7 linked regions of the Canis lupus familiaris genome follow. The protein of the gene in region 1 purifies or fractionates together with the protein of each later gene. This does not show direct contact. Links are inferred from orthologs where the notes say so. Each region holds a gene or a part of one and is shown in the gene's direction. Other genes may lie near its edges.

Evidence for each region.
Region 2: the proteins of WDR5 (region 1) and MGA purify together in Homo sapiens (affinity purification with mass spectrometry; 5 studies listed by BioGRID and IntAct, counting the BioPlex papers as one, with this or other methods). This does not show direct contact. The link is inferred for Canis lupus familiaris from reciprocal best matches to the Homo sapiens genes WDR5 and MGA.
Region 3: the proteins of WDR5 (region 1) and GRWD1 purify together in Homo sapiens (affinity purification with western blotting; 3 studies listed by BioGRID and IntAct, with this or other methods). This does not show direct contact. The link is inferred for Canis lupus familiaris from reciprocal best matches to the Homo sapiens genes WDR5 and GRWD1.
Region 4: the proteins of WDR5 (region 1) and YAP1 purify together in Homo sapiens (affinity purification with mass spectrometry; 3 studies listed by BioGRID, with this or other methods). This does not show direct contact. The link is inferred for Canis lupus familiaris from reciprocal best matches to the Homo sapiens genes WDR5 and YAP1.
Region 5: the proteins of WDR5 (region 1) and RERE purify together in Homo sapiens (affinity purification with mass spectrometry; 5 studies listed by BioGRID and IntAct, counting the BioPlex papers as one, with this or other methods). This does not show direct contact. The link is inferred for Canis lupus familiaris from reciprocal best matches to the Homo sapiens genes WDR5 and RERE.
Region 6: the proteins of WDR5 (region 1) and E2F6 purify together in Homo sapiens (affinity purification with mass spectrometry; 4 studies listed by BioGRID and IntAct, counting the BioPlex papers as one, with this or other methods). This does not show direct contact. The link is inferred for Canis lupus familiaris from reciprocal best matches to the Homo sapiens genes WDR5 and E2F6.
Region 7: the proteins of WDR5 (region 1) and PAXIP1 purify together in Homo sapiens (affinity purification with mass spectrometry; 7 studies listed by BioGRID and IntAct, counting the BioPlex papers as one, with this or other methods). This does not show direct contact. The link is inferred for Canis lupus familiaris from reciprocal best matches to the Homo sapiens genes WDR5 and PAXIP1.

Annotation. Positions count from the first base shown.
Region 1 is NC_049230.1:50,410,397-50,413,974, forward strand, and holds part of WDR5 (WD repeat-containing protein 5), read left to right. Parts: coding exon 1-25; intron 26-674; coding exon 675-783; intron 784-1,077; coding exon 1,078-1,151; intron 1,152-1,541; coding exon 1,542-1,631; intron 1,632-1,827; coding exon 1,828-1,917; intron 1,918-2,113; coding exon 2,114-2,197; intron 2,198-3,578.
Region 2 is NC_049251.1:9,095,117-9,098,694, forward strand, and holds part of MGA (MAX gene-associated protein), read left to right. Parts: coding exon 1-970; 3' UTR 971-3,578. UniProt on the Homo sapiens protein: Functions as a dual-specificity transcription factor, regulating the expression of both MAX-network and T-box family target genes. Functions as a repressor or an activator.
Region 3 is NC_049222.1:108,488,163-108,492,414, reverse strand, and holds the end of GRWD1 (glutamate-rich WD repeat-containing protein 1), read left to right. Parts: intron 1-464; coding exon 465-678; intron 679-816; coding exon 817-959; intron 960-1,114; coding exon 1,115-1,312; intron 1,313-2,756; coding exon 2,757-3,074; 3' UTR 3,075-3,735; downstream 3,736-4,252. UniProt on the Homo sapiens protein: Histone binding-protein that regulates chromatin dynamics and minichromosome maintenance (MCM) loading at replication origins, possibly by promoting chromatin openness.
Region 4 is NC_049226.1:29,537,529-29,541,106, reverse strand, and holds part of YAP1 (transcriptional coactivator YAP1), read left to right. Parts: intron 1-2,857; coding exon 2,858-2,970; intron 2,971-3,578. UniProt on the Homo sapiens protein: Transcriptional regulator with dual roles as a coactivator and corepressor. Critical downstream regulatory target in the Hippo signaling pathway, crucial for organ size control and tumor suppression by restricting proliferation and promoting apoptosis.
Region 5 is NC_049226.1:62,759,631-62,763,966, reverse strand, and holds the start of RERE (arginine-glutamic acid dipeptide repeats protein), read left to right. Parts: upstream 1-1,525; 5' UTR 1,526-2,000; intron 2,001-4,336. UniProt on the Homo sapiens protein: Plays a role as a transcriptional repressor during development. May play a role in the control of cell survival. Overexpression of RERE recruits BAX to the nucleus particularly to POD and triggers caspase-3 activation, leading to cell death.
Region 6 is NC_049238.1:8,186,880-8,191,081, reverse strand, and holds the start of E2F6 (transcription factor E2F6), read left to right. Parts: upstream 1-1,364; 5' UTR 1,365-1,618; coding exon 1,619-1,726; intron 1,727-4,202. UniProt on the Homo sapiens protein: Inhibitor of E2F-dependent transcription. Binds DNA cooperatively with DP proteins through the E2 recognition site, 5'-TTTC[CG]CGC-3'. Has a preference for the 5'-TTTCCCGC-3' E2F recognition site.
Region 7 is NC_049237.1:18,846,217-18,850,571, reverse strand, and holds the start of PAXIP1 (PAX-interacting protein 1), read left to right. Parts: upstream 1-1,514; 5' UTR 1,515-1,582; coding exon 1,583-1,663; intron 1,664-2,708; exon of another isoform or gene 2,709-4,225; intron 4,226-4,253; exon of another isoform or gene 4,254-4,355.

The DNA of each region.
Region 1 (3,578 bases):
TTCCTCCTCGGCTACGCAGAGCAAGGCATGTCCCTGAGGGCTTGAGGGGAACTGCCAGGGGCGCCTAGGCCGAGTACTCTTCAGAGATGCTTCTTCCAAGTCTGTTCTCCCTCTTCAGTTAGACACTGTGTTTTTATTTATGGGCCACAGACCTAATCAGTGCTTGTTTACCGTGCTGAGGATCCCCAGACCTGTCCCCCGGAGAAGGGGCTTTATCACAACATAGATCCTTGTTCCTGATCGTAAGATCTCTGCAGCACCCAGAAAGCCTCTCATACAGCATCCCCCTGGTCCACAGTTCTGGTGGCCAGGCAGGTTTGCAAACCCCTTTGCTGGACACCAGGCGGCACATACAGGCCTTTGAGCAAGGCTACAGCCTTCAGGTTTGCTTTGAGGGAGGCTGTGCTTGCCGGACTTGGTGATGCGTGTCGGACGTTGGGGTGGGGTCAGGCCTTGAGGGGCCTCTGTGTTGAGCTGTCCTGGAAGAGCTGGGCACGAAGGTGGGGGCTGCAGGAGAAGCAGGGCTGCCGAGGGGAAATAGCCCAGATTTAAACACGACCAGTTGGAAAGGACTTCCAGAGAGTTCTAGCAGGATTTGGAACTTAGAAGGTGGTTCTGAGTTTGAAGCAAGGTGGTGGTTAATGGTTTGATGACTAGTATTCTCTCTTCAACAGCCTACCCCTGTTAAACCAAACTACGCTCTAAAATTCACCCTGGCTGGCCACACAAAAGCCGTGTCCTCCGTGAAATTCAGCCCGAATGGAGAGTGGCTGGCAAGTTCATGTACGTATCACCAGGGCCTCCGCTCCTGTCAAAGGTAGTCTGTGCTGCCACCAGAAGCCCGGAGCAGGGGGAGGGCTTGCTTTCTGATGCTGCCACTGGGGTGTCGCAGGGGCTGGAGCCCTTTACGTAACACTCTGAGATGATGTGCTCAGGGGAGAGGGGAAGGGTACTCCGGTGCCGGCTACTTCTTTCCATGGGATTTGCACTGTTTCCAGGGCTCCTGTTGTGGGCAGCCCGGATTTTGCCCTTGGGGTGACTGTACCATCACAGTTATTTTGTCTTTCTTTTTTTCAGCTGCTGATAAGCTCATTAAAATTTGGGGAGCATATGACGGAAAGTTTGAGAAAACCATATCTGGTCACAAGCTGGTAGGTTCATCCCTGCACGTGGAGGTTGCCCACTGGCCGCCTTAGCCCCACTGGTGGGTGGGGCCCATCCCCAGAGCTCAGCAGGTTAAGGTCTAAGCTTTCCCCCGGAGTTTTTTGGATAGTTCTTTGCTTTTTGTCTTTTTTTTTTTTTTTTCCTTTTGTCTTTTAAGCAAGTACTTCTGACCTTCCCAGACAAGTTTCTGCCTGACTGCAAGAGAACACACTCTCCTTTGGGGACTGTGCGGTGTTTCGTCTGTGTGGTCAGCAGTAGCTAGAGGGTTTGGGTAGTGGAGTGAGGTGCTTATTTATCTTTGGATGGATGTTCTGACCTTTGCTGGTTAACTGTATTTTGTCCTGTCAAGGCGGTGACCCTGTGTCTTTGCTCCCCAGGGGATATCAGATGTGGCCTGGTCATCAGATTCCAACCTCCTCGTTTCTGCTTCAGATGATAAAACCCTAAAGATCTGGGATGTGAGCTCGGTGAGCTGCTCTGCCCAACCCCCGCCCCGGCAGAGCTTGTGTGCGTGGACAAGGGGCAGGGCGGGAGTCCGAGGGGGGTCTGGGGACCCTGGGTCATGGGGTGGCCCTGCTCTGTGGGGTATGTGCCATTGGGCCGCTGTGGGCTCAGCTTTGAAATAACCACTAGGACTAACAGTCTGACGATACTTGGTTTTAGGGAAAGTGTCTGAAAACCCTGAAGGGGCACAGTAACTACGTCTTCTGCTGTAACTTCAATCCCCAATCCAACCTCATTGTCTCGGGCTCTGTAAGTCTAACCCCCCCTTCCCCTGGGGTGTTGTAGGGGTGTGGGGGTGTGGTACTTTGTAGCCAGAGACTTAGGAGTTGAGCCTGAGTCTTCTCTGCTGGGGGATGGGGGCCGTGGTGGCAGGCCTTGGGTTCCAGAAGACCTGTCCTCTCCCACCTCCCTGTGGAGTGGCCTTAACCTCTTCCTTTGTCTTCAGTTTGACGAAAGCGTGAGGATATGGGACGTGAAAACAGGGAAGTGCCTCAAGACTTTGCCTGCACACTCGGACCCGGTCTCAGCTGTAAGTCCCGCTGAGCTCTGGACACCACATGGCAAGACAGGGTGATGGCCAGAGAGGGGGCACTGGGGACCCCGAGAGAGTTCTCCCTATCCTGGGCCCGTGAAAGGAGAGGCAGGCGAGGGGTTTGGTCCCTGAACCAAATCCTGTGGGACAGGTAGGGCAGCCAGGCCTGGAAGAGGGGCTGTGTGTTGGGAAGTGTGGCCACAGAGAAGTGAATTTGGAGTGGAGTTGGCTTTGATCCTGGGGTGGTGGTGGAATGAGCTGGGGTGAGCTAGCCGAGGGTAAGGGCTGGGGTGGGGGGGGGGTTGGAGCCCCACGAGCACCCTGTGTGTGCTGTGTCCTGCCTTGTGCACACGCTAGCAGTGTGCAAGATGAGGTACGTAGTTGAAGTATCTGCTGTAATACAAACCCTCCATTTGAAAGTGGCCGAGAGATTTTTTTCTTTGTCAGCAGAGCCTAGACTTGTTTCTTAGCCAAGTTTGCCTTTTTTTGGAAAGGGGAAGGAATCGTGTAAACATTGTGCTTATTTTTACTGAGCAGATGGTCCTTTTCACTTTCTGAAATCGTGTAGGTGAGTGATTTTAAGTATTTTCAGGCAATAAAGGGCTTTTTTGCCCAGCTGAGACCATTCGCAGAGCCCAGATACATGGAGGACATGTATTACGTGTTGGTCGCAGTGGACTGAGGGGCCCTCGCTGCCCAGAGTCCCGGCCAGTGTGGATGGGGCTCATCCTTGGGGGCCCCGAGGAAGGCAGTGTGCTGTGGAGAGGGGGCCTGGCCCACCTGGCGCTCTGCCCTCTGCCGTGGACCCCCAGTCCCAGGAGAGCTGACTTTGAGATGGGCATGGTGGTGAATGTGGGCAGGACCCAGGATGCAAGCTGAGTGAAGGCCAGGAGTCCCAGCAGTGCGAGGTGGTGCGGGGGCTGTGGGTGGGACCCTCAGCCTAAGTGGTAGGGTTTATAGAGTCTTTGTTTTCTGTGGAAGTGAAACGTACTCATTTTTTAAAAAAGACAAACGGATGCAGTGAAGAGAAAGTCACTCTCCTGAGCCCTCCAGGACCCCTGCTGGTAGCCCCCCCCCCCCCCCCCCCCCCGCACGCCCTGGGTATTCTGATATTTTAAATATGTGCTATCTCCCACCATCTGTCCTGTAAGTGGTGGGGGTGACCACAGCTATTGTGCGTCCCTGTGGGAGGGTTTCTCGGGCATCTGTGGTGTCCATAGACCCCCATGGGCAGTGGGCACTCTGTGCTGGGGCCTTAGCAGGTGCTTGTTCGTAGCTTGCATTTCTCATGGAGGAGTGCGATGAGCATCTTCGTTGGGCCACTTTACCCACCATGTGTTTCTGCGGTGAGCTTTAGGAGGTCATCATCGTGTGAAAG
Region 2 (3,578 bases), on another chromosome or scaffold:
CTTACCCAAAAAGATTTCTGGTGAAGTGAGAGGTATTCAATACAAGTGGAAAGAGTGTGAATCTAGACGGGAGAAACCAAAGCCAAAGGAGTCTACGTTTCATAAATTGAAGATGAAAGATCTCAAAGACTCAAGTATAGAGATGGAACTGAGAAAGGTAGCATCTGCTATAGAGGAAGCAGCGCTAGATCCCAGTGAACTGCTAACTAACATGGAAGATGAGGATGATACTGATGAGACACTGACTTCTCTACTCAATGAGATTGCCTTTCTTAATCAGCAACTAAACGATGACTCTGTTAGCCTGGCTGAACTGCCCAGCTCAATGGATACAGAGTTCACAGGGGATGCTCGACGGGCTTTTATCAGTAAGCTTCCTTCTGGTAACCGAGCAACTTTCCAGGTTGGCCACTTGGGAAGTGGTTTGAAAGAGTTGCCTGATGTGCAAAGGGAGAATGACTCTGTCAGTCCTCTCCTCTTGCACTTGGAAGATGATGACTTTTCTGAGACTGAAAAACAGCTTGCTGAACCAGCCTCTGAGCCAGATGTCCTTAAGATTGTTATTGACTCGGAGATAAAGGATTCCCTCCTTTCCCACAGGAAAGCCAGTGATGGAGGGAAGAGTACTTCTGGCATCCCTGCAGAGCCTGAAAGTGTGTCCTCGCCTCCCATCCTACACATGAAGGCTGGTGTAGAGAACAGCAGCACAGATACTTTGTGGAGGCCTATGCCAAAGTTGGCACCTCTAGGTTTAAAAGTAGCTAATCCTTCTAGTGATGCAGATGGTCAGAGTCTCAAGGTGATGCCTTGTTTGGCACCTGTAGCTGCCAAAGTTGGATCGGTTGGACACAAAATGAACTTAATAGGGAATGACCAGGAATGCCGGGAGAGCAAGGTGATGCCTACACTGGCACCTGTTGTGGCCAAATTGGGCAACTCTGGGGCCTCACCAAGTTCTGCAGGGAAATGAACTTACTTGTCCTCAGGCAGAAGCCAGGCTATGAGGGAAACCTCCTTTCTCTGTAGGCATCTGTTTATTTGTGTCATGGAACTGTGATCCTTGACTTTGATGTGGTGGATGATGGTAGAGAAAGGGGGGTAGGGTGCTGACCTCGATATTAGAAATTACTACTATGAAATTCTGATCATGTTAAAATGTGTTACCTCACTTGTGGTGCTGGGTCTCCTCATCCTCTCTAAGAAGATGTGATCCATTACTGAACACGAGGTGCCCCTCTTACCCAAGGAATTCATAACAAGACTCTAGGTCCATAGTGGTTCCTAGTTCTTCCCTCCCAGAGAAAAAGCTGCTTGAGACTTTGGAGTTGCTATGGGCTGAACTGTAGTGGATAGCTTTTGTTTTAAGTGGTTTAAGTCTGAAATCCAAGGAATGTGATGCACTTGTGTGAAGGGATTCAGAAGAGAGAGTTTTTAGTTGGTGTTTCAAGAGTAGTGGGAGAGACGATGGGTACCATGGAATACCAAAGTGAAACACTTTGTGTCATTCAGCAAAATTTTCTCTTTCATATCCCAAGTAGCTTCCATTCCCTTATCTTTTCAATCAACTATAAATCCAAGCCTTCTGGTAAAGTAGGAATGCTTTTACAAAAGTGATTATTTTGAGATGTTAAGGAAAGTACTAGTTCTCCCTTACTGTCTGGGTGTTGAAAAGACATTTCACAGTACCAGGGATTTCTACCTGGAAGACATATTTTGGAAGTAGGCATAGAGGGAGCCCTCCCCTTTTCACAAATCCCATCACTCAAGAGACAGCTAAACTGAAAAGCATTCCCTGCCCAGACCAGAGACAGTGGCCAAAACAAAAATTGTGGGGCTGGATGTTTCCTAAATCAAACCAGCCTCCTGGTGCTTGAAGGTTTCATTCACTATTACCTGCACAGGATGTAAAGAAAAGAAAAGTCACAGTAGGCACTCTTTACCAGGGAAATGAGGCAGTATTTGAATCACAAGATATATTTTTTATTATCTGCTACCATGGATTCAATGATCTGTAGAGCTTTTTCACTCATTAGCTGTCAGGGTATGAAGGACTGACAGCCTGTAAAGATAAAGATATTTATATTTTTGTATAGTTGTTTTCATAGATTTCTCAAAGGCTGAAGTTTTCAACCTAGAAGATGAGATTTGTATTGAGTATAGAAATGATGTTTCCTATCTAGTTTGTAAATAATCATGGTGCACTTGAGGGGTCTCTTGGAAACTCCTGGGGGCAAGAATCACTATTCTGAAAATGTATAGATTGGGATTTAGCTGCTGCATTTTGCCTTTCTTAAATAATTATATTTTGGAATGTAACCCCTGTTCTGTCTTCATTGACAGGATTTGCTTGTGTTGTGAAACACTAACACAAGAGCTTCCAGTGCCTGGGCTGTGCCTAGGTGATGCTATTTCTTCTGCATCTCCCCCGCCTCGCCCCCCCCCCCCCCCCCCCCCGCCTTCTTTATGCCAAATCCTACTCAACATATCTTCAGACGTAGGTTGTGAGACCAGCTTTGAAATGGTTCTAGCCAGTGAATTAGTACTTCCATGGTTGGTACCCTTTCTAGTATCTCTGGTAATCAGCAGATTGTAAAAGGGTGGAAAAATTTCCTTTGCAAATTGCAGTAAGAGCAAATTCTTTGTTGTTTTTTTGCTACTTGCCTTTCTAGACCTGTGCATCAGCATTCGACCTTCCCTCCCTTAAAGGTTTTTGAAGAAGCTTGAAGTAGGTATTGAGTGCCTGTCAGCTTCTCATGATCCCTACCACTCTTTACCCAGCAGATTTCATTCAATGCCTTAGCCAAGGAGTCCAGCACCTGTCTCCCCTGCTAATAATTGTCCTTGGAGATCCTAGTACTTTAATCCAGGTATAGCAGTTTCCCATTATTAACTTGCTTGCCTCGTCCTCACATTTCCTCCTGACTTCCCAAGGCTCTTGTTATGGCTTTTGAGGGTCAGCCAAGGAGAAGGCAGGTGAGTGAATAATCCTCAGGAAAAGGACCATTCTGATTCTGAACACTGTTCCCTTTTTTAGAAGAAAATAAACAGGTATTAATCGTTCTTGATGGGAAGATATTTGACATAAGATTTGTTGTACAAAGATGGAAATGATGATTCCAGGTGTTTAAGAAAGGCTGCAGATGTCATTACGAACTCCCAAGATAATGGTTATTTTCAAGACCTTAAGAGGGCTAATTTGAAGGAGGGCTCAGTCTTCAGAACAATCCTGCAGTCTTGACACAAATCTCAAATCTCCAAAAACTCCTACCCTTTAACCTTACCCCAGGACAAACTGATCTATGAAAATGACTTGTGTGATTATGAAAGATGTAGTTGAGTGAGAGGAGTTGAGAAATTGGGAGGATAGTGAGCTCTCACCCTAACACTATAAGAAGCATGATCTCAGTAGACCAATAATTCGCCTTTTTATACATCTGTAAATAAATGGAATGTTTTTAAGAATATAATTATGTCAGATTTAGCCTTTTCTTTTATATATTAAATATATATCTTTCCTTTTCTGCTTTTGAAAAATGACTATTTTTTTAGACATAAGAACAGAAGAAGTTTGGTGAGTG
Region 3 (4,252 bases), on another chromosome or scaffold:
CAGTTTGGGGCCCAAGGCAGGGAGCCCCGGGGTGGAGGAGGTTGCAGATGGCAATCGGGAGCTCGGTTTTGGATCCATCTGAACAGTCAGTGTGGTAGGAGCTTAGAGCTGAGGAGAGGTCAAGACTAGGGACCACTGGAAACCTTGAGGCTGAACGGGATCTTCTAGTGAGCAGATGTACAGGGCAAAGAGAACCAAGGATGATGGCCTGTGACTCACCAACATTTAGAGGGTTACAAGGACTGGTAGTCTGAGCACCTCCCACCTCTTCCAAGGGTTGGTGGAATGCCTCTACATAGAATGGGAAGTTGTCCCAGGTACCAAGCTGATCTTGCAGGCTGTGATTTTTGTCCCCACCAAGGCTTCTGGGAGCTGGAGTCCTAGCCCTGGGGCTGCAGTTCTGCTTCTCGGGGCTGTGAGGAGCTGTGGTCACCACCCTGAGCCTCCTGTCCCTTCCCCTGCAGGTATCCTGGCTGGGCGAGGAGCCGGTGGCTGGTATATGGTCAGAGAAGGGCCAGGTGGAGGTGTTTGCCCTGCGGCGGCTTTTGCAGGTGGTGGATGATCCCCAGGCCTTGGCGACTTTCCTCCGGGATGAGCAGGCCCGTGTCAAGCCCATCTTCACCTTTGCTGGCCACATGGGCGAGGGCTTTGCTCTTGACTGGTCCCCCCGGGTGTCTGGTGAGTCCCTGGGGTGCACAGTTGGTCCTGGGGGTGTGAGAGGGAGCAGGATCTGTAGGGAAGGTGGGAGCTAAAATTGCTGGAGAAGAGGGAGCTGTGGCCATCTGGGCCCTGATACTTTCCTGACTCCGTTTCCAGGGCGCCTGCTGACCGGAGACTGCCAGAAGAACATCCACCTCTGGACGCCAACGGATGGTGGTTCCTGGCATGTGGACCAGCGGCCATTTATGGGCCACACACGCTCTGTGGAGGACCTACAGTGGTCCCCAACTGAGGACACGGTGAGGGGGGCTGGTGGTCTGGACTCCTGGGCCTTGAAGGAGGATGGGACGGGAGCTAGGCACAGTGAGGGGGCACTAGTCCATCGCTAGTCGTCCTTGGGGTCCAGGCTGGGGTGGCAGGTACGCCGAGGTCACCCAGGCCCTGCCTTGTCTAGGTGTTCGCCTCCTGCTCGGCTGATGCTTCCATTCGCATCTGGGACATCCGGGCTGCCCCCAGCAAGGCTTGCATGCTCACCACCACCTCTGCCCATGATGGAGATGTTAATGTCATCAACTGGAGCCGCCGGGAACCCTTCCTGCTCAGCGGCGGGGACGATGGAGCCCTCAAGATCTGGGACCTGAGGCAGTTCAAGGTATTTTCCCAGCCGGCCCTGGGATTTGCAGGCTTCCCTTCTTTAGGTGCTTGTTTACACCGGAGCTGGGAGGGCCTGTTGAGTTGGGGTCCAGCCCTTTTGGGGTGCAGATGAGGAACAGGGCTCAGCAGGAAAAGGCTGTTCCTGGTGGAGGGTGGCTTGACACACACACCCCCCAGCTGGAGAGGTGACAGGAGACGAGCGGCCAGGTAGCAGCAGAGACTCCCCATTCCCATCTACCCGCTGGCAAGCAGAGCAGCTGGCCACGTGGCCCAGGGCTTCTGGAGTCTCAGCGAGCTGTAGACTTTATGTTAGTGAGCTTTGTGGAATCAGCTGAGAATTGGAGCCCACATTGCTCATTGCAGGAGAGGAAACAGGTACAGGAAGGACAGGGACAGATGTGACATCACACCCAGTGACAACTGACTATAGAGCTAGGAGGGGCTCTGGACATGAGACATTGCATCTTCTCTCTCCTCAGGTGTAAGGATTTCTATAGCGTCAGCTCTGAGGAACCTTCTAGAAACCGGTTCCAGCCCCCAAGGCAGGTGTAGGGCCAGGTTCCATGGCCAAGTTGATTGGCCACTGGGACTTTGGAACTACTTCTCCAGTTTAGAGAGATTCCAGTCCTCAGCTGCACCTTTGAGTTAGTAGAAGTGCTGCTTTTCTTTCTTTCTGGACACTGGGAGCTATGGTTCTGTTCTCTTTAAGGCCTTCATAGAATCAGTAGGGAGAGAGCAGTTTGAGAACCACTACTCCCCTCCTTTTTAAAGATTTACTTATTTAGGGATGCCTGGGTGACTCGGTGGTTGAGCGTCTGCCTTTGGCTCAGGTGGTGATCCCAGGGTTCTGGGATCAAGTCCTGCATCATGCTCCCTGCATGGAGTCTGCTTCTCCCTCTGCCTGTGTCTCTGCCTCTCTCTGTATCTCTAATGATTAAATAAATAAAATCTTAAAAAAAAAAAAAAGATTCATTTGGAGAGAGAGTGAGTATGAGTGGGGTGAAGGGCAGAGAGGGAGAGAGAATCTCAAACAGACTCCACACTGAGCACAGAACCTGACGTGGGGCTTGATCTCACAACCCTGAAATCATGAGCTGAAACCAAGGGTCTGCACTTAAATGACTGAGCCACTCTGGGGGCCCCCGAGAACCACCCCCTTTATAGGAAGGGAACCTGAGGCATGTCCAGGGAGGACCTGCGGTGGGGACTTTGTGACCTGGAGCTGGAAGGGCTTGGCAGGTGAAACCACAGTTCCCACAGCCTCCAGGATGTTATGCCTCTATTACCAGATGTACTTGGCCCTCTGCCCCTTTCAGAGAACCTGGGCTTGTGCAAGTCCCAGGGGTGGGGCCCCAGTGGAACCCCCAAGGCTGGAGAGTGGTGAGGGCTCCCTGGGAGTCAGGCTGGGGTGTCCAGAACCCCTGACTCCCCTCTTCCCATAGTCCGGCTCCCCGGTGGCCACCTTCAAGCAGCACGTGGCCCCCATCACCTCTGTTGAGTGGCACCCCCAGGACAGCGGAGTCTTCGCAGCTTCAGGGGCAGACAACCAGATCACACAGTGGGACCTGGCAGTTGAACGGGACCCCGAGGCAGGCGACACGGAGACCGACCCTGGGCTGGCGGACCTTCCCCAGCAGCTGCTGTTCGTGCACCAGGGCGAGACAGACCTGAAGGAGTTGCACTGGCATCCACAGTGTCCCGGGGTCCTCGTTAGCACCGCCCTGTCAGGCTTCACAGTCTTCCGCACCATCAGTGTCTGAGGAGGCGGCCGCCACGGCCGGGACGACCCTGCAGACCTGCTGAGCCTCTCTCCTCCCAGAGTCAGGCTTCACTGGACCAGTGAGCTGCCGCGATGGATTCTGTTTGACGTGCTGTTCTTGGAAAGGACTTCGTTTGGCCCCCTGACCCCTCTTGCCCATGCGTCTGGGTCAACCCATGACTGTAAAACTACCTGGTTTGGTTCAGGGAGCCTTCCAGCCAGAGGGCTTGGTTTGACTCCTGTGTCCCCTCCGGTGGAAAGATTTGGGTTTGGCTCCGGCCATACCCCTCCCACCTCAACCTGTCCCAGGACCTGTTGGCCTCTTTCCCAGGTGGGCCCGGTGTGGCCAGCATTGCTGTGGATATTCTGCGAGCTGTCAGGCTTTGACCTCTCGCTTACAGGACCCAGTTTTGGCCACTGGCCTCCCCGCCCCGGAGAACTCAGAGCACTTTACAGTGGGCCCAGCCGAGGTTGAAGGGTGGGTTCTTCCAGCAGAATCTGGTTTTGTCCCCACTTCCAGCCAACAGGGTTTGGCCAGGACTTCCGAGGGGTGGGGGTAGGGGGCTGTATGGGTCTTCCTCCCTCCTGCATCCCAGGCAAGCGATGTGCAGGGAAGGAGGTCCAGGGCCCCCAAGGCAGTAAAGGACCAGAATGAGGCCTGATGTATGTGAGACTCATCCTGCTGGCTGCTTCCCTATGAAGAAAGGGGAGGAGGAGGTGGGACCCAGGTTCCCAGCTGTCCAGAGGCCACCGAGAATCCCTGCTTCATGGAGAATCCCTGCTTCATGGGGGGTCTCCCCGCCCATTGGGTGCTGTTTGTACACCCCACCCTGAATTTTATTCACATGGAGCCCAGTCCAGGTCTCTGGAGGGGTGGCTCACCTGTGTCCCTGGGCTTTTGAAGTCTTCATCTCAAAGGGAACTGAGGAGCCCATTTTTCTGTCCTTCTGCCGCTGTCCCCTTTCTCCCCTTCTGTTCCCTTCTCTGTGTCCCTATCTCCCCGTGTCTCCCTATCCCCCTCCCCCTTCCCGTTTCTTCACCGCGTCTCCTCTCCAGCCTGCTTGGGCTGCGGCCCAGCTGCCCTGCCTGGCCATCCTCCCTGGCTCCCCCTCTGCGGCTCTGGGCTGGCCCCACCCCCTGCCCCCCCTCAGCCAGGCCTCTGATCCGCCTGTGGACACA
Region 4 (3,578 bases), on another chromosome or scaffold:
TTTTTGGTTTTCGGATTTTTTTTAACTAGTTTTAAACAATGCACCTTTAAAAACATTTAAAGGTCCTTTGGTTTAGGAAAGCTGTTCTCTTACGCTTTCAGTTCTCAGAAGATGAATTGCAAACTTCATGATCTTAGAAAAACAAAATTTTGGGACACCTGGGTGGCTCAGCAGTTAAGCACCTGCCTTCGGCCCAGGGCGTGATCCTGGAGTCCCAGGATCGAGTCCCACGTCAGCCTCCCTACATGGAGCCTGCTTCTCTCTCTATGTCTGTGCCTCTCTCTCTCTCTCTTTCTCTCTCTCTCTCTCATGAATAAATAAATAAAATCTTAAACAAAAAAAAAGAAATTTCTTTTATCCTACCAAGACATGCAGTCCAGTCCAGTAGAATTTCCATTTGCTCAGTCTTAGACTTGGGGTTGGGGGCCTGGTTTTTTAGGTTTGATCTTGAAGACTGTCTAAGATGTGTTCGGAGTTTGTGGTTCTGCCAAACCTGAGTGTATGTACACGAGGCTCTGAACATAGACAACAGTGAATCAGGAAAGGTCAGAGCCACATGACTTTTCCCCCCCACAAGGAAGCTTTCAGCTTGGTGTGATTGCAATGTCCATCTTGTTGGGCCTCGTGTGGCCCGAGGGTAGAGGCAGACTATAGAACGTGGATATAGGCTGGGCATCCTTTGTGCAAATTCTTCCTGAGAATGTCTCATGAACACTAGGCTGTAGTTTGAGATTCTGTCTCTTGGTAAAGGTCACTGGGTGTCAGGTGATCGGCATTACTAGGACCAAGGGCAGAATCCTTTTTCCAGGCTGTATGGTACTCCCTGTCCTAAACCCTCATCTGACGTTCCATTTCTCTCTTGGATTCAAGCATATCCTGGAGACTTCACACTGACCACCAGGTTGACTCTCAGCCCTGGCACAGAGTCCCCCTGCCCCCCAGAATCCCAAGATCCTGCTTTCCCATGCTCCTTCTTTGTTCTCAAAGCACTTTGCTCACATAGCGCCTGAGTATAGTTCATTAACACACATGTTCATCTGTCTCCTCGACATTATGAGTCTCTCAGAAACCATCATCTGTAGGTTTTTGTAGTTGTCTCTCTGTCCTCAGAGCCTGAGGACATGCCTGCTCTGTGTGTTTGTGGGAGGCATGGGCCGGGGCCCTGGGCAGAGAAGCAGCCCATGCTTGTCTCGTGGCTCCAAAAGAGTCCCGCACAACCATGTGAGCTCAGCCTCCCCACAGCAGCGTCTCCGGTGTCCGTCTGTGCTCTACTCTTCACAGCAGGAGTGCAGTGTGACCAGGCCCCTTTCCCAGATCCAGGCAGGATGGAACACAGTGGTACGGTGGACAAATGGTCTTAGAGGCAAATTTGTGTTTTCTTGGGTCTTTGTGAGGCTTTTGACTCTTGCCAAAATCTGGCAGATTTTAGAGTAATCCATGGTTTCAATATACACAGTGAGGGGAGGGAGGACAGGGTAGCTCCTTTGGGTAATTAGGGAAGAAATTTGGGGGACTGAGTTTTCAACCTTGAGCAACTGTTACAGCTTATTTCTAAGGAAAGCTTAGCTGTTTTTGTTTTTTAACAAAACAAAAGCTATGTGAGCTAAATAGTTACCTAAGTTTCCAGGCTTGGGGGAAAGTTAAAGTTCACATCCTCGTCGGAGACCATCAAAAGTACCAGTCACCTTTATTTGCTGTACAATTTTCTAGAATTAGCAGAACTCCAAATCCTGTAGTCACGCCGGCTGCTGTCTGTGTGGCACTGGCTCAGGCACATGTTCTGTGTCTGTGGATTGAGGGGATATTGACCACACATGTGTAACCATTTAGCCTCAAGTTAAAATCCATCTTCACTCGTACTTTTCTGTTTTTCCTGAAGGTGTATACCTTAGAATTGTTGGCATGGTTGGAGTTTTATTTATTTTTAAGATTTTATTTATTCATGAGGCGCAGAGACACAGGCAGAGGGAGAAGCAGACTCCATGCAGAGAGCCTGACGTGGGACTCGATCCGGGGTCTCCAGGATCATGCCCTGGGCTGAAGGCGGCGCTAAACCACTGAGCCACCTGACCTGCCCAATGCTTGGGGTTTTAAATCTCTTTCTTAGCTGGAACTCTCAGGACTGCTGTGTCATGCTAAATAAAGTGTTTGGGGTCTTTCCCCCTAAACAGAAGAAGCAAGAAGGCAAAGCTGGGGGAGGTTTGTTTTTTTTGTTTGTTTTTTTTTTTTTTTTTTTATTGGAGCTTTATTTTAGAGCATGCACACAGGTTGGGTGGGGGGTGATCTGGAGCAGACACCTCACTGAGCGCAGAGCCTGCCACAGGGCTCATCCTGCAACCCTGAGGTCACGACCTGCAACCTAATTGCCTGAGGCCCCCAGCCTCCCTGAGGGGAGTTGTTACCTTCTCAGTGGTGACCCCTCCCTTTTGGCCCAGTTCAGAAAGGCCTTGTGGGTTTGTATTGGGTTGATTTTTCCTTGGCTTGAGCTCTGTATACAAGGGGCTGCATCCCTTGTCCCCTGCAGCCTGTGTGGACCCACTGGGGAGATGATAGAAGCCAGATTCAGATGGCATGACAGGACAGCACACAGAGAATTTTCTGTTCTCAAGGAAGGCTGCGAGCCTCTCTTCTCTGCTTTCCTTGCCACCAGCCCCAGACTCGTGGGAGAGCTATGCCTGCCTCAGGGTAAACGTGTCACATCCCACCATGGGTCCCTCGTGAGCCCCGGGGACTGGGTGATGCTTGCTCCACATACTATAGGCAGGAGTCTCACTGACCCTCCTAGAGAATCGTGTTCACCTTTACATTGGAATCATTTAAAATGTTGGTGTAGGTCTTGAATTCTCCTGTTTTGTAGTGGCACCTACCACTCCCGGGATGAAAGCACAGACAGTGGGCTGAGCATGAGCAGCTACAGCGTCCCTCGAACCCCAGATGACTTCCTGAACAGTGTTGACGAGATGGACACAGGTAGGTGTCCTCCACGTGTCTTGGCGGTCGGCCTCAGTGACCACCATTGTTTCTCCAGGTTGGGGGTGGGGGTGGTCACAGGTCTATGAGCAAAGGTTATTGAGAAGAAAACCAGTCACAACCCTGCAAACTTCCACTCCCGTTGAGCCTGCTTTGTTTCTTCATGGCCATTTGTAACTGATGTGTGTTCTGTTTTCCCACATAGACGGCATGGCTCTCTGAACAGAACTGATGGCAGAACTTATTTTAGCACTTCCCATACTAAGCCATATGGCAGGGCAGCGGATGGCCCTCACGGAGATCCATATGGATTCAGTGTCTGCCTCCATCTCCCCCAAGGGCTTGAGGTCTCAGGAAAGCAGGCGGAGAAGGCTGCCTGGTTGTAGCAAGAGCTGAGCAGGGCAGGGTGGGGGCTATCTCCTCCCGTGGCTCACCAGGTGACCCCTGACCGCCCTGTGCTCGGGTCTGAACCCGCAGGGCCAGAGTGACTCTCCCGCTGGCCACCTCTTTGGCCGACAGCTCCTCAGAGTGTTTGGCGCATCTTTTCTGCCTGTACTCATCCTGCTTGTGGCCTTGGTGTGTCCTCCAGTGCTCACCACCCCTCCTCT
Region 5 (4,336 bases), on another chromosome or scaffold:
GAGCCATTTATTATGTTGTAACTTTCAGTTCTCACATTATTAGATATGTAATGAGGTATTAACTACCTTTCCCATTTCATAGCTGAAGGAATTGCAGCAAGAGAGGGTTTTTCTTGCTGAAAGTTACTCAGAGAGGTTATGGCAAAGATCCGTTTTGTTTCTCAATCTATGGAGTCACAGCCCAATGATATCTGCTCAGTCCAAATTATTCTTAAAAGAAACTGCTGGATATGGAAATTATAATCTGGATATTCCAAAGAGAAAATTATCACTTTATTTGAAATAGATGAGCGAATTATTTTGCGCTGTGTTCTATCCCTTAATTATTCTATTATATACAGATCTGAACTCCTTCAGGGAGAGTGTATGGTATAAGGACACCAATAAGCATTTACAGTATATTAACAAACCAACAATAGGTTGATGATTCGCCCTGGATTCGTGCCAGGGTGTGTGAAAGAACTCAATAAGCATGATATGCATTTCAAAAACTGCTCGTCATAATTAAAATTTCCAAACCTCTCATTCCTATAAATTATATTAAACAAGAGTATGCGCATTTGGCCTGCCCCTCACTCCCCTTACAGCACCGCGGACCCTGTCATTACCAGCCTTACCAGAATACTAGGTTTCTCAAAAGAAAAAGGTGATCTTCTTTCTTTCTTTCTTTTTCTTTCTTTCTTTCTTTCTTTCTTTCTTTCTTTCTTTCTTTCTTTCTTTCTTTTCTTTCTTTCCTTTCTTTCTTTCCTTTCTTCTTTCTTTCTTTCTTTTCTTTCTTTCTTTCTTTCTTTCTTTTTTTTTTTAATTTTTCCAACTTAAGGCATAGAGTTGTGCACACTGCTCTCTCCCTAATACCCTCTGCGGCTCCCTAATACCCTTCTTTATTCCTTGATGAGACTTTCCGGGCTTTGCCTCTTTATTATATTCTTTTTCAAAGAAGCAACGCGACCTGCGAATTTCGTTTTTCCTTTTCTTAATTAATCTTCTGAAATCAGAATTTCGGAAGAGTCCTGCAGCGAATCGCTGGAGCCCACTCCGAGTCCCCCTCCCCCCTCCTCCCCCTCCTCCCCCCGCCCCCCTTCCCAGGGACACGAGTCCGCGTCCGAAGTGGCTGCGACCGCAAATTGTGACCCCGGCCCGCGGCGCCGCTGGGACCCGCACAAAGACGCGCCGCGGTCGGGGGCCGAGCCCACCGCCAGCCGCCGCCCGGAGCGCGCGCTCGAGCCCGGGCCGCCGCCGCGTCGGTACAGACCAGCCTCTCCCCTCCTTCTCTCCTGCTCTTTTTTATTAGAAAGAAAAAAAAAAAAAAAAAAAAAAAAAAAAAAAGAGGGAGAGAGAGGGAGAGAATGAGAGAGCGCAGGAAGCCCCGCCCCTTCGCCCGCCCTCCGCCTCCCATTGGCCCGGCCTCCGCGCGCGTCACGCCGGGACGCGCCAATGGCGAGGCGCGATACTGCGAGGTGGGCCGGGCCCGAGCGCGGAGTGGGCGGCGGGTCGGTGCAGCAGCCCCGCCGCGGCTCGGCCACCATCGCCGAGGCGCCGCTACTCCCACAGACGCTCGCGAGCCGCCCCCCGCGCTCCCAGCCTCCTCTTCCTCCCGCACGCCCCAGACGCTCGCCCGCCTCGGGTCTCGCCCCCGCCTCCGCTTCCCCGCCGCTCTTCCCCTCGCTCGCCTCCCACACTGTCTCTGTTTCTTTTCTCTCCTAGTTGAGGGGGGAAAAATCAGCATCATCCTCAGGGAGCCCCTCGCCCTCAGGAACACAAAACCAGACATGATCCTGGGCTCCCGCTCCTGAAGGACTGGCCGAGCGAGCAGCAGGGAGGCTGGTGGAGACCGGCCCCGAGGTCACGGGAGGGAAGCCCCCGCAGCCCCCCGGCCCCGGCCCCGTCCCCGTGGCCGGCCCCTCGTCGGCCCGAGCCCAGCGGCCTCCCCGCCCCGTCCCCCACTTTCCCGGGAGCCGGACGAACACACCTCCATTGATGGTGTAGCGCATCCGGGGAAGGTAAGTCTCCAACTTGCCGGCGTGGGGCTGCTGCCGTCCCCCCGGCGCCTCGTCCTGGGCGCGGGCGCGGGCGCGGGCGCCGGCGCGGGGCGGCAGGGGGTCGGCGTGGGCGCCCCGGGTCCGCCGGTGGGGGGGGCGGCCAGCGAGCGGCGCGCGGCCGGGGGGCGGGGGGTGTCGGGAATAAAGGGCCGGGGACTTCCTGGGCCCTGTGCGGGCCAGGTAACTGTCCCACTCGCCTGCCGACCCCTGTTCTTTCTTTGCTGCTTATTCATGGTCTTGTTTGACTTGTCTGAGGGTTAAACTGTTTCATGTGACTAAATTATTGGCTGAAACTGGGGGTTGGGGTGGGGAGGCAGGAAGGGAAGTCAGGGACCCAGACTGTACATTTCTTGAATGTTTGTGGGTCTGGGGGTCTTGGTGGTGGTGGTGGTGGTGGTGGTGGAAAGGACTCTTTTGAAAGTATCATTTTCACATTAGGGAAAGATTCCCTCTTTGTGCTCTACATCTCCAGGTCTCTGTGTGGTTCCTAAATTATTACGAAAACCCCCAAATCATTTGCAGCAGAATAGGATTCTTACTACCATGTTTGAGTTCTGCTCTCTGAAAGAGAGAGTGGCTTCTATTTTTATTTTTATTGAAGGTTTTGAAAAGAAGAGAGGTAGTAGTTTGACATAAGATGTGTGTGTGTTGGAGGGGGGAGTATTGCAGGTTTCCTTTGAAAGTGGTTGCTTGAGAAGTTGTTGAAAGGAAAACAAAATGATTCATTGTCGAATTGTCATGTTCCTCTGCCTCTTTTCCAAGGTTTGCTTGCAATTTCTCTGGATTAGAGACTTCAGACATTGATTTAAGCAAAAAACGTGTCCTTGAGAAACTGGGTGCTTTAAATGTTTCAGTGTGTGTTGTTGCTATTTTAAGGGACATTTAGAAAGTAGTTTTGTATGAATCCCGAAATAGCTTTCCCCAAAGCAAATTTTTAAACGCAGAAAAGATAACTAGTAAAAGGGAAACTTCGTGGATTGCAAAACAAACATTTTGATGTCACACAAATTAATGCACCCTATGTTTAGATACGAAACTGTTTTGATAATTGCTTTCCGTTTAAAGAGAGACCTTTTTTTTGTCTGGTGTACACTGGTTTCTTTTAGTCTCAGTCTGTTGGGGGAGGGGAGAGAGGATGGATCTATACAATAATAAAATCATCTTTGGGTAGCTGTTTCCTTCCATGGATTTCCTTGCTGAGTTAATGCCACTGTAAATTATAAACCAGTTTTGATTTTGATGGCCTGGGTGGAAAGCTGGCTTCTAGCTCTCCCTGTTGTTGTTGAGGGTGAAGGGAAAAGAGGCAGAGGCAGACACACACACACACACACACACACACACACACAATACCAGGCTGAGGGCTCATTGTTCTTCCATACACACATTCATTCTCTCTCTCCCATATTTGGGACTAGGTTTGCACAGACAAACACAGCTCTTTTTTGGGAGAGAGGAGAGAGAAGATGGGGGGAAGGGTGGACGCTTTTCTTTTTCAGCTTTCTTTCACCCATCTCATGTCTGGCCTTTTTTTTTTTTTTTTTTTTTCCAACCTTAAAAGAGGCAGAAGAGTATACCGGAAACTAAAGGACACTCAAAAACCTGTTCAGAGACTCCTCTTCTCCACCTCCCTTCTTTCCTTTGCAGCCCTAGTTTCTGCTGCTCTTTTTTTGTGTGTATGTAAAGATAAAATCCCTCTTTATATGTCGTGGCCTTGTAGTCAGCTTTCCTATTCTTCATTGCCCCTGACTTTGTTGGGGACAGTGATTTGTTCAGTTGACTCTTATTGTAGTGAATGTGACCAGGGCCTTTTCTAGGTAGAAGTAGATCGTCTCAATTAAGATGAAAAAGATCGTGTTTGAGATTAATATTTAGTAAAGGATGTCTGTGTGTTTTGACATATTAGTGGTCTGATGGCTGATAATAGGTCTGCTGGCCATTGAGATGTCATTTTTTGTTTTGTTTTGTACACAGGGGCTATAAAGACAGATCTGATTTTCTCTTTTGGGGGCTGGTGTAGAGTCTTCGTTAAATACTGGACAGGGAATAGGCTGACCGATCCCACCTGGGTTAAACCCAGCTCTGGGCCAAGGATGGAGGTTGGTGTGAATACTGCGGGTTGCAGAATAGCACCTTCTACTGGTTAATTGCTTTGAAGGATCCTGATGAGGAGCATGGGGGAGGGGATTAACGGCCGAGGCCTAATGATTTTCTTTTGAACGCAGTTGTAGTGCCTTCCTGCAAATGCGACTTCCCTGAGCTGCTAATACACATGCCCTTTGACTGGCACAGATGCATTG
Region 6 (4,202 bases), on another chromosome or scaffold:
TTTTTTTTTTTTTAAGGATTTTATCTATTTATTCATGAGAGACACAGAGAGAGAGGCAGAGACATCGGCAGAGGGAGAAGCAGACTCTCTGCGAGGAGCCGGATATGGGGCTCGTTCCCAGGACCCCAGGATCACGCTCTGAGCCAAAGGCAGATGCTCAACCCCTGAGGCACCCAGGTGCCCCACCTTTCAGTTTTGATATAAGATTTACATGCAAAAATGTATGCAGAAACTTTAGTAGAATGCCAAACATATAGCAAACAGTGGATTATGCCTTTTTATGAAAAACATTCTAGTCTCCAGAGCTTGCCTTCCTGGGGACTCTGGTTGGTAAGGGTGTATTTCAACCACTCTGGGAAAATCTCCATTCAGCAACAAAATCCAATCTTCTAGCAACTTAGCCCCTATGTTATTCTCTATTTCAGGTCATTTAGTTAGCAAACATTTACTGAGCTCTTACTATTTGGCAGGCACCGTGCTAGATGCTGGAGATACAAAGATTAGAGAATGCCTCTCCCTGGAGGAGTTTATAATCTAGTGGGGGAGCTGCTTCTGGGGAAACCTGCTGCCCTACTCAGGCTGGGTAGGAACCCCTGGCCTAACCACTGCAGGGCTCAGTCGCTGTACTTAACCACATCGCATTGCCTTTTTATTTCAAACACGTGCCTGTCACCCTTCTAAGTAATTTAATTAATTCTCACAACAAACTTAAGAAATAAGCACTCTCATTATTCCTGCTGCATGAATGAGGAAACTGAGGCACACAGTGATTTTTTTTTTTTTTTAAGTAACTTGCTTAAAGCCTTGTCCTCTTAATAAGGAGAGAGGCGGGGATCTGAAAACACACTTTCCAGCTCCAGCTTTAAATGTCCTGTTTATTCATCTGTTTCCTCTGTTGGACTTTGAGGTTGAGTCTGTGGCAGATTCCGGTGATTATGTCCTGTGCCCACCACGACACCTGACACAACAGGTAACAGTTTATTCATCAGGTGAAAAAAGAAAAAAAGGAAGAGAAAGACAGCAGCTTGTAAGCAACTGCACAGCGGGCTGATTACCGGCATTCACTAAGCATCAGCCCTGGGCGGCCGGAGGGAGCTCAAGATTAAATCCACAGCCGCGCGCTCAGCGGTGTTGAGTGTCGGCGCCTGCGTTCCTTCGCCCCGCCGCCTCTTTTCTCTGGCTCCGTTCCCTTCTTTGGGGGTCCGGCTCCACCTCTTCCTCTCCTCCGCCATCCTCTCCGTGGACTTCGCGTCCGGGCTTTCCCGGGCTCCGGGCGCCGCGAGGGGGTTAGTGCGTGGGAGCGCGGCGGCCGCGGCGGGCGTGCGCAGTGGGGGCGGCGCACTGCGCATGCGGGAAGATGGCGGGCCTGGCGTCCTGAGAGCCGCGGGTCACCCTGCTCGCCTCCGGGCTGCGTGTTAGCTCCCCGGATCGGGGGTCGGGGGCGCTGCGGCGCGTCCGCCCGCGGGCCGGCCCAGGCAGCGGCGCCTCCGAGCGGGCTGCGGGCCCAGGTCGCGCTCGGCCCCCGAGAACCGGCGCGTTGGGGGCGGCGCCCGGCCGGGAGCGGGAGAAGGCGGGAGAGCTCGCGCGGTGCGAGGCGCGGGCCGGCCGGCCGGGCAGCATGAGTCAGCAGCGGCCGGCGCGGAAGCTGCCCAGCCTGCTGGTGGACCCGGCGGAGGAGACGGTGCGCCGTCGGTGCCGCGACCCCATCAACGTGGAGGGCCTGCTGGTAAGCCCCGGGGCCGGCTGTGCCCGGAGCGCCCGGGCCCGCGGGGCGGGGCGGCGCGGGGGCGGGGAGGGGGGCGGGGGGGCCGGACCCCCGCCCCCCGCCCCCCGCCCCCCGCCGGGCCCGGTTCCGGTTCCGGTTCCTGGCTGCTCCCGGGCCTCCCTGGCGCTCCCGCTGCCCATCCTGGGCTCTCCTCCAGGCCGGTCGGCCTTTCGCGTGAACTGCCTCCAACACTTGCTCCCAAATGTGTGGTCCTCAGTCTTGCTGGCCTTTACCTGCTGGGGCTGCCCAGCGCTCCTGGAGAAAATTTGCCCAACTTGGCGGGGTTTTTTGTTTTGTTTTGTTTTTTCTTCTCCCCTCCGCGGTACCCTCGCAGAGGTACACTCTGCAACTTAATTGGTTTTGTCTTCATCCCATTCTCTTACTTGATTCCAGCTATTTAGACTCCTGCGCCGCCTACCATTTCCCACCCCGCAGCTGCCCATTCAGCAAAATTTTTTAAAGATTTTATTCATTTATTCATGAGAGACACAGAGAGAAAGAGAGGCAGAGACACAGGCAGAGGGAGAAGCAGGCTCCATGCAGGGAACCCGATGTAGGATCCGATCCCTGGTCTCCAGGATCACGCCCTGGGCCAAAGGCAGGTATTAAACGGCTGAGCCACCAGGGATCCCATTCAGCAAAATTAAGGACGATTGCGCTCCCTCCCCGGCTACGGTGAATTTCCCCTATTCTTGTTTTATTTTTATTATTTTTTAAAAGATTTTGTTTATTTATACATGAGACAGAGAGGGAGAGACACAGGCAGAGGCAGAAGCAGGCTCCATGCAGGGAGCCCGACGTGGGACTCGACCCCGGGTCTCCAGGATCAGGCCCTGGGCTGAAGGCAGGTGCTCAACCGCTGAGCCACCCAGGGCTACCCCTTATTCTTGTTTTAGGCTAAACGTAATATATTCTCCTTGGTCCTTGAGGCATTGATGAATCCATCATTTTCCATTTCTCCCCTTATTTTCAACTTCTCTGTTCATTTCTTCCTGTAATAAGCAAATATTTGCTGAAGTTACTGTGCCCAGTGCCCACGGTGGCTCAAGTGCTCAAAAATAGTTTATGAGCATAATCTCATTTAATTTCCTCACAGAAGTCCCCAGAGGTTATTTTTCTTGTTCTCCGTTTGTCAGAACAGACTCAGAAGTGTTAAGTGGCTTGTGGGCGGTTGGACAGTACCTGGAAACGCCTGGGTTTAACCTCACAATGACCCCTGATGATAAATTCTTGACCACTTTGCTGCATCCTAAATATTTCCCCATCTTGAAAGAGCCTTCCCTTAATTCCAGATACCCTGCCATCTCCTATATCCCTTCCTTCCAAGCTTTTCCAAAAAATTGTTTGCGTTCGCTATGTCCGCTTGCTCACATGAGGGACCTCTGCGCTCAGCACAGCTCTAAGACTGTTCTCACTGAGGTCGCCAACGACCTTGTCAGTTCCATCAGATGTTTCACTCCTTATCGCTAGTGTCTACACAACTGACCACTTGCTTTTGTTGGAAACTCCCCTCTGAATGGCTCCTTCGGTACCTTACACTGTTGCTGCTCCATGTACTCATCTGGCCTCTCCTTGTGCTCCTCTGCAAACTGCTCTTTCTCTCTGCATTCCTTACGTGCTGGTGTTATTTGGGGTTTTCTTCTCTCTCTACACGTTTTTCACCCGAGACATCTTTTGCCACTTCTAGGACTTCTGATACCATCTTTACTCGTGGTTTTCATCTTTGAGGATTTGATAAAAGCCCTGAATTCTCAACTGTGGAAAAACCACTTAATTTTGTATTTAATATCAGAAGACACACGCATCTCTTGCTATTTAGATATTCTTATCTACTTTGGCAATTTCAGTCACCATGTCAGAATAACTCCTAGGTCTGTAAATCCAGTTCAGAGTTTTCCAGCTGTCTACTGACATCTCTACATAGATTTCAAACTCTATCCAAAATTGAATTCATTATCTTCTTGCCTAAGGCAACAGCTCTGCTATCTCTTATCTTCACAAACGGCTCCACATCCACCATATTGCCCAGGCTAGGCTCTTAGGCATTGTCCTTGCCTTTTCTCTTTTCCAAACTGACCCTCTATCCTCCCAATCTAATTAAAGTTAATCACCAGTACTTGGCACCTCTGACCATATATCTTTCAAGTTGTTGCAATCTTTTCCTGCTTCTTGCCCAGAAGCAAAACCTGGTTACTATTCTCCACATAGTAACTAACTATCATGGTCTTTTTTAAGTGTTTCTTCTCTTTTCTTTTTTTTTAAGATTTTATTTATTCATTCATGAGAAACAGAGAGAGAGAGAGAGAGAGAGGGGCAGAGAAGCAGGTTCCATGCAGGGAGCCCGATGCGGGACTCGATCCTGGGTCTCTAGGAAGGTGGCACTAAACCTCTGAGCCACCAGGGCTGCCCTTAAAGTGTGTTTCTGACCATGTCATTT
Region 7 (4,355 bases), on another chromosome or scaffold:
ATCCTGCTCCATCTTCTTCCATCCTTCCCTGTCCTGCTCCCTCCTCCTCGTTCTGCCTGGTTCTCCCCGGCCAGCCAACACCCCCACCAATCCTTCCCTTTCTTCTCCCGTCCTCCTGGGCTACCCAGTCCAACCACCCCATCTTCTTCCATCCTCCCCAACCTCCCCTATCCTGCTGCCTCCTCTCCAGTCCCACCACCCTGTCCTGCTCCGTCCTCCCCGTCCTTCCTCATCCTCCCCCACCCTGCCCTGTCCTGCCCTGGTCCCACCACCCCGTCCTGCTCCGTCCTCCCCGTCCTTCCTCATCCTCATCCTCCCCCACCCTGCCCTGTCCTGCCCTGATACCACCACCCCGTCCTGCTCCGTCCTCCCCGTCCTTCCTCATCTCCCCCCATCTTCCCCCACCCTGCCCTGTCCTGCCCGGTCCCACCACCCCGTCCTGCTCCGTCCTCCCCCATCCCCCCCATCTTCCCCCACCCTGCCCTGTCCTGCCCCGGTCCCACCACCCCGTCTTCTCCAGTCCTCCCCATCCTTCCCTATCCTGCCTCGTCCTCCCCGGTCCCACCACCCCGTCCTGCTCCGCCCCGAGCGCCCGTCCCCGCAGACCGCACAGCTCAGGCAGACCCCAGAACGGAACTCCGGAGGTTCCCGGGTCTTTAAAAAACCAACCGCACTCGCACGGACTCGAGAACGCTGACCACTCAGCAGGTGACAGCAGCCAGCTCCGCGGCGCCGCCGGGTGACATCAGGGAGAGGACGCGTCAGGGCGGCGCCGGCAGGGTGACGTCAGAACGCGCACGTCACGACGGGCCGCCGCCGGGGGCTGTGTGTGGGGGGGGGCAGGGCCTCCCTCGGCAGGAGTGCGCTGCGGGTGCGACGGCGAGACGCCCACCGGCGAGGCCCAGGACCCCGGCCAGCCGCGGCGCCCTCCGTCCCGCACGCCGTCCGGCGCCCGCCCCTCGGCCGGGGCCGAGCGCCCGAGACCCGACCTCTGTCGCCTGCGGGCGCTGCGGCGTTACCTCGGTCCCGTCGGGCGGCCGGCGGCGACAGGAGTCCCTCCGGGGCCCGAGGCCGCCCCGCGCCGCCATCGCCTCCGCCGCCGGCCGCAAGCCCCGCCCCCCGCGCCGCGCGCCTGCGCAGCCCGAGCGGCCGCGCGTGTTGACGGGAGGGGCCTCCGCGTTCCCTTCTTTCCCGGGACCGGCCCACTCGGACCGCGCCGGGGGGGGGGCGCGTTTGTCCGCGTCCTCGGGGTCCGCCTCTCGAGGCGGCGGCGGCTCCGGGTTCCGGGTGTGTGGAGCGGGCCTCGTGGGGGCCGTGCCCGCGGAGGTTCGAGCCGCGGGGGAGGTGGGGGGCGGCGCCGGCGGGCGGCCGGGCCCTCGGCGCTCCCCCTCGGCGGCCGGCGGGATGGTGCGTCCCGCAGGGCGCGCGCGGCTCCCGCGCTTGGGCCGCTCGGCGCGGGCGGGGGCGCGGAGGGCGGGGGAGCGGGCCCGACTCGCAGGACCGGGCCCCGGCCGCGCGGTTGGGGAGCGGGCCCCGCGGGGCGGGGCGGGAGCCGCCGCGGAGCCTTGCGGCCGCCGCGACCATGTCGGACCCGGCGCCCAAAGTTCCCGAGGAGATGTTCCGAGAGGTCAAGTATTACGCGGTGGGCGACATCGACCCGCAGGTACCGCGCCGCCCCCGCCCGCGCCCGCCCGCGCCCGCCCGCGCCCTCCGCCCGCCGCGTCCCCGTCGCCGTCCCCGTCCCGTCCCTGCTCCCGCCGCGGGCGCGCGCCTGGCCGCAGAACGTCTGGGCCCCGCCGCCCGGGCCGCCGGCCTGGCTGCGCCGACGCTGGGCCGCCGGGCGCCGAGCAGGCCCGGGGCTGGGGGGCCGAGGGGCCGAGGGGCCGGGGGAAGGGACCTGCGGGAGGGGACCTGGGGGGCGGCCGAGGGACCTTCGGGAGCTGACCCGCGGAGGGCAGGTGGAGGACCCGGGGTGGGGGTCCTGCGGGACCTGCGACCGGCGAGCCCAGGGGAGCGACCTTCCGAAGCAGACCCAGCGAGGGGACCTACGGCAGGGGACCTGGGGGCCGACTTCTAGACCCGCGGCCTGGAGGCTGGAACACGGGGGCTCTAAAGGACCCAGGATTAGAGGGAGCATGAAGGGAGGCGTGGAGATCTGGGTCATGCCCTACTGGGACTATCAGTAGAGGGGTCTACTTCCTGACCAGAGAGGAGGGGAGGACATGGGGTGGGGGGCCACGTCTCGGGCCTCTGCCTGGTGGGGGTCCGGCATCCTGTCGCATAGGTAAGTCCCCCAAACCCATCTGCCACCTCAGCCAGTTGCTACTTTGCTGCTTTCTGAGGCAGATTTGGAGCAGGAGCATCCTTCCTGTTGCCCACCCCATGTGCCTGTGCTCCCAGAACAGGGGGCCCGAGAGTGGGGACAAGGTGAAGGGAATGGAGCTCAGGTGGGAACCCCAGGTCCAGGCTGCTGGGGTGTAGTGAACAGCCCCTGGTGTGGCCAGCCACCAGAGCTCACAGGGCTGGGCTGTGCAGCTGCAATCATGTGGGAAGTGCTTCGTTTGAAACCCTCTAATTCCTATTTCTTGATTTTCCTAATTGGGATTAAACAGTAAATGTGGAAGATATCCAGGTAGCACTAAAATTGTGAACATTGAACAGGCCCATACCAAAAGATACAGTTTTTTCTAAGCCCCCCCCCCCACCCCACCCCGTAATACATCTGTTTAAACGTCAGGGTGTTACTCTTGCACTGTGGAAGTGAATCTTAGTTGAATATCTATTTCAGGTGAATCTTCACAACATTCTTTTTATTAAAGTTTGTGCAGGTAAAATTACCTGGGGTGGCTTATATGCTATGAGGGCTAAGCTTGGAGGTGAAGAGACTTGGAGCCAGGTGATCAGACCTTCGTCCTCAAGAGTGGAGACAGATGTTTAACCAATGATCTTGGTTGGCATGGAAAGAATTATGGAAGGTTGATTGGTCTTGACCTTGTAGAGGCTGGTCTGTTTGTATCTTAGTAAACTAAACTCCCTTGTGTGACTTTCAGGGTGGACCCTTGTTCTGTTGTAACTGTAGGGTGAAGAGACTGGTCCTTGAATTTAAAGGTAAACCGGTGTTGAACCCATAGAGATCATGATGAATGCCTGTAGCAGTGGCAGCTTTTTCCGGTATTGATAATTTTCCTGTCTTTCACTATCCAACCTTCTCCCCCACCTCCTTCCTACTCTCTTTATTTCATTTTAGGACTTTGGCTCTTATGGGGGACTTGAATCAAATGTTACTTAAAACCTGGAATGAGCTGAATTGGAACCATATTTGCTCAACTATGAGTCAAATCTAAGTGCTTAAAAATGTCCTTGGCAAACTACTTTGATGTGAAACAGTAGATTTTCTAAATGATTTAGAGCCAGAACATTGATTCCCTGAATCTTATAAATATGGATTCAGAAAGTTCATGTGTATTGAACATCTAGCACCTGTTAAAGCATTGGACTGAAGATGAGAAGAACTGATTCCTCTCAAGAACCCTTCATTGCTGGGGATGGGGAGCACACCGGAAGACATGGTGGTGTAGGGTGGTAGGTGTGGCAAGGACAGACTTTAAATTATAAATGTGAGGTGCTTAGGAAGAGGCACCACTGAACTTTTTTTTTTTTTTAAGGTTTTATTCATTCATGAGAGAGGGACACACACACACACACACAGGCAGAGACACAGGTAGAAGGAGAAGCAGGCTCCATGCAGGGAGCCCGATGTGGGATTCATCTCGGGACTCCAAGATCACGTCCTGGGCTGAAGGTGGGCACCAAACCGCTGAGCCACCCAGGGATCCCTTGAACTTTTTGAAAGTAGTTGTCGTATCAGTGGGGTGTTGAGCTATACCCTGAAATTAATAGGGTAAGGTGATGTTTTTCGTGTTAAATGTGTGCTGAGGAACAGAAGCATTGATGTATTTGAAACACACCAGGGTGATCAGTACACCTAGTGCAAGAGTGACATGAGCTAAATCTAGTAATAGATTTAGTAGTGTGAAGATTAGAAAGAAGCTACAAGTTTGGGCACCCTTCAAGTCCATGAAAAAATTAGTATTTCAGCAGAGTTGTAGAAAAGGCAGGCGACGGTGGGTGAAGAGTGAGCAGGAAGTGAAGACATCTTGGACGGTTCCAAGTGATCTGTCAGGAAGAGGAAGCAGAGAAGGAGCCTGGAGGTGTGTGAGTGCATGTGAGGACCAGCGAGGCCTTCTTTGTTCTTGGGTGGAAAGGGAGAGATTGAAATCTCATGACTCCTAAAAAATGTGGTAGGGTTGGAAATGCAAACTGGAGGGTGGATAGAGGAGGGTACCATTTTCTGT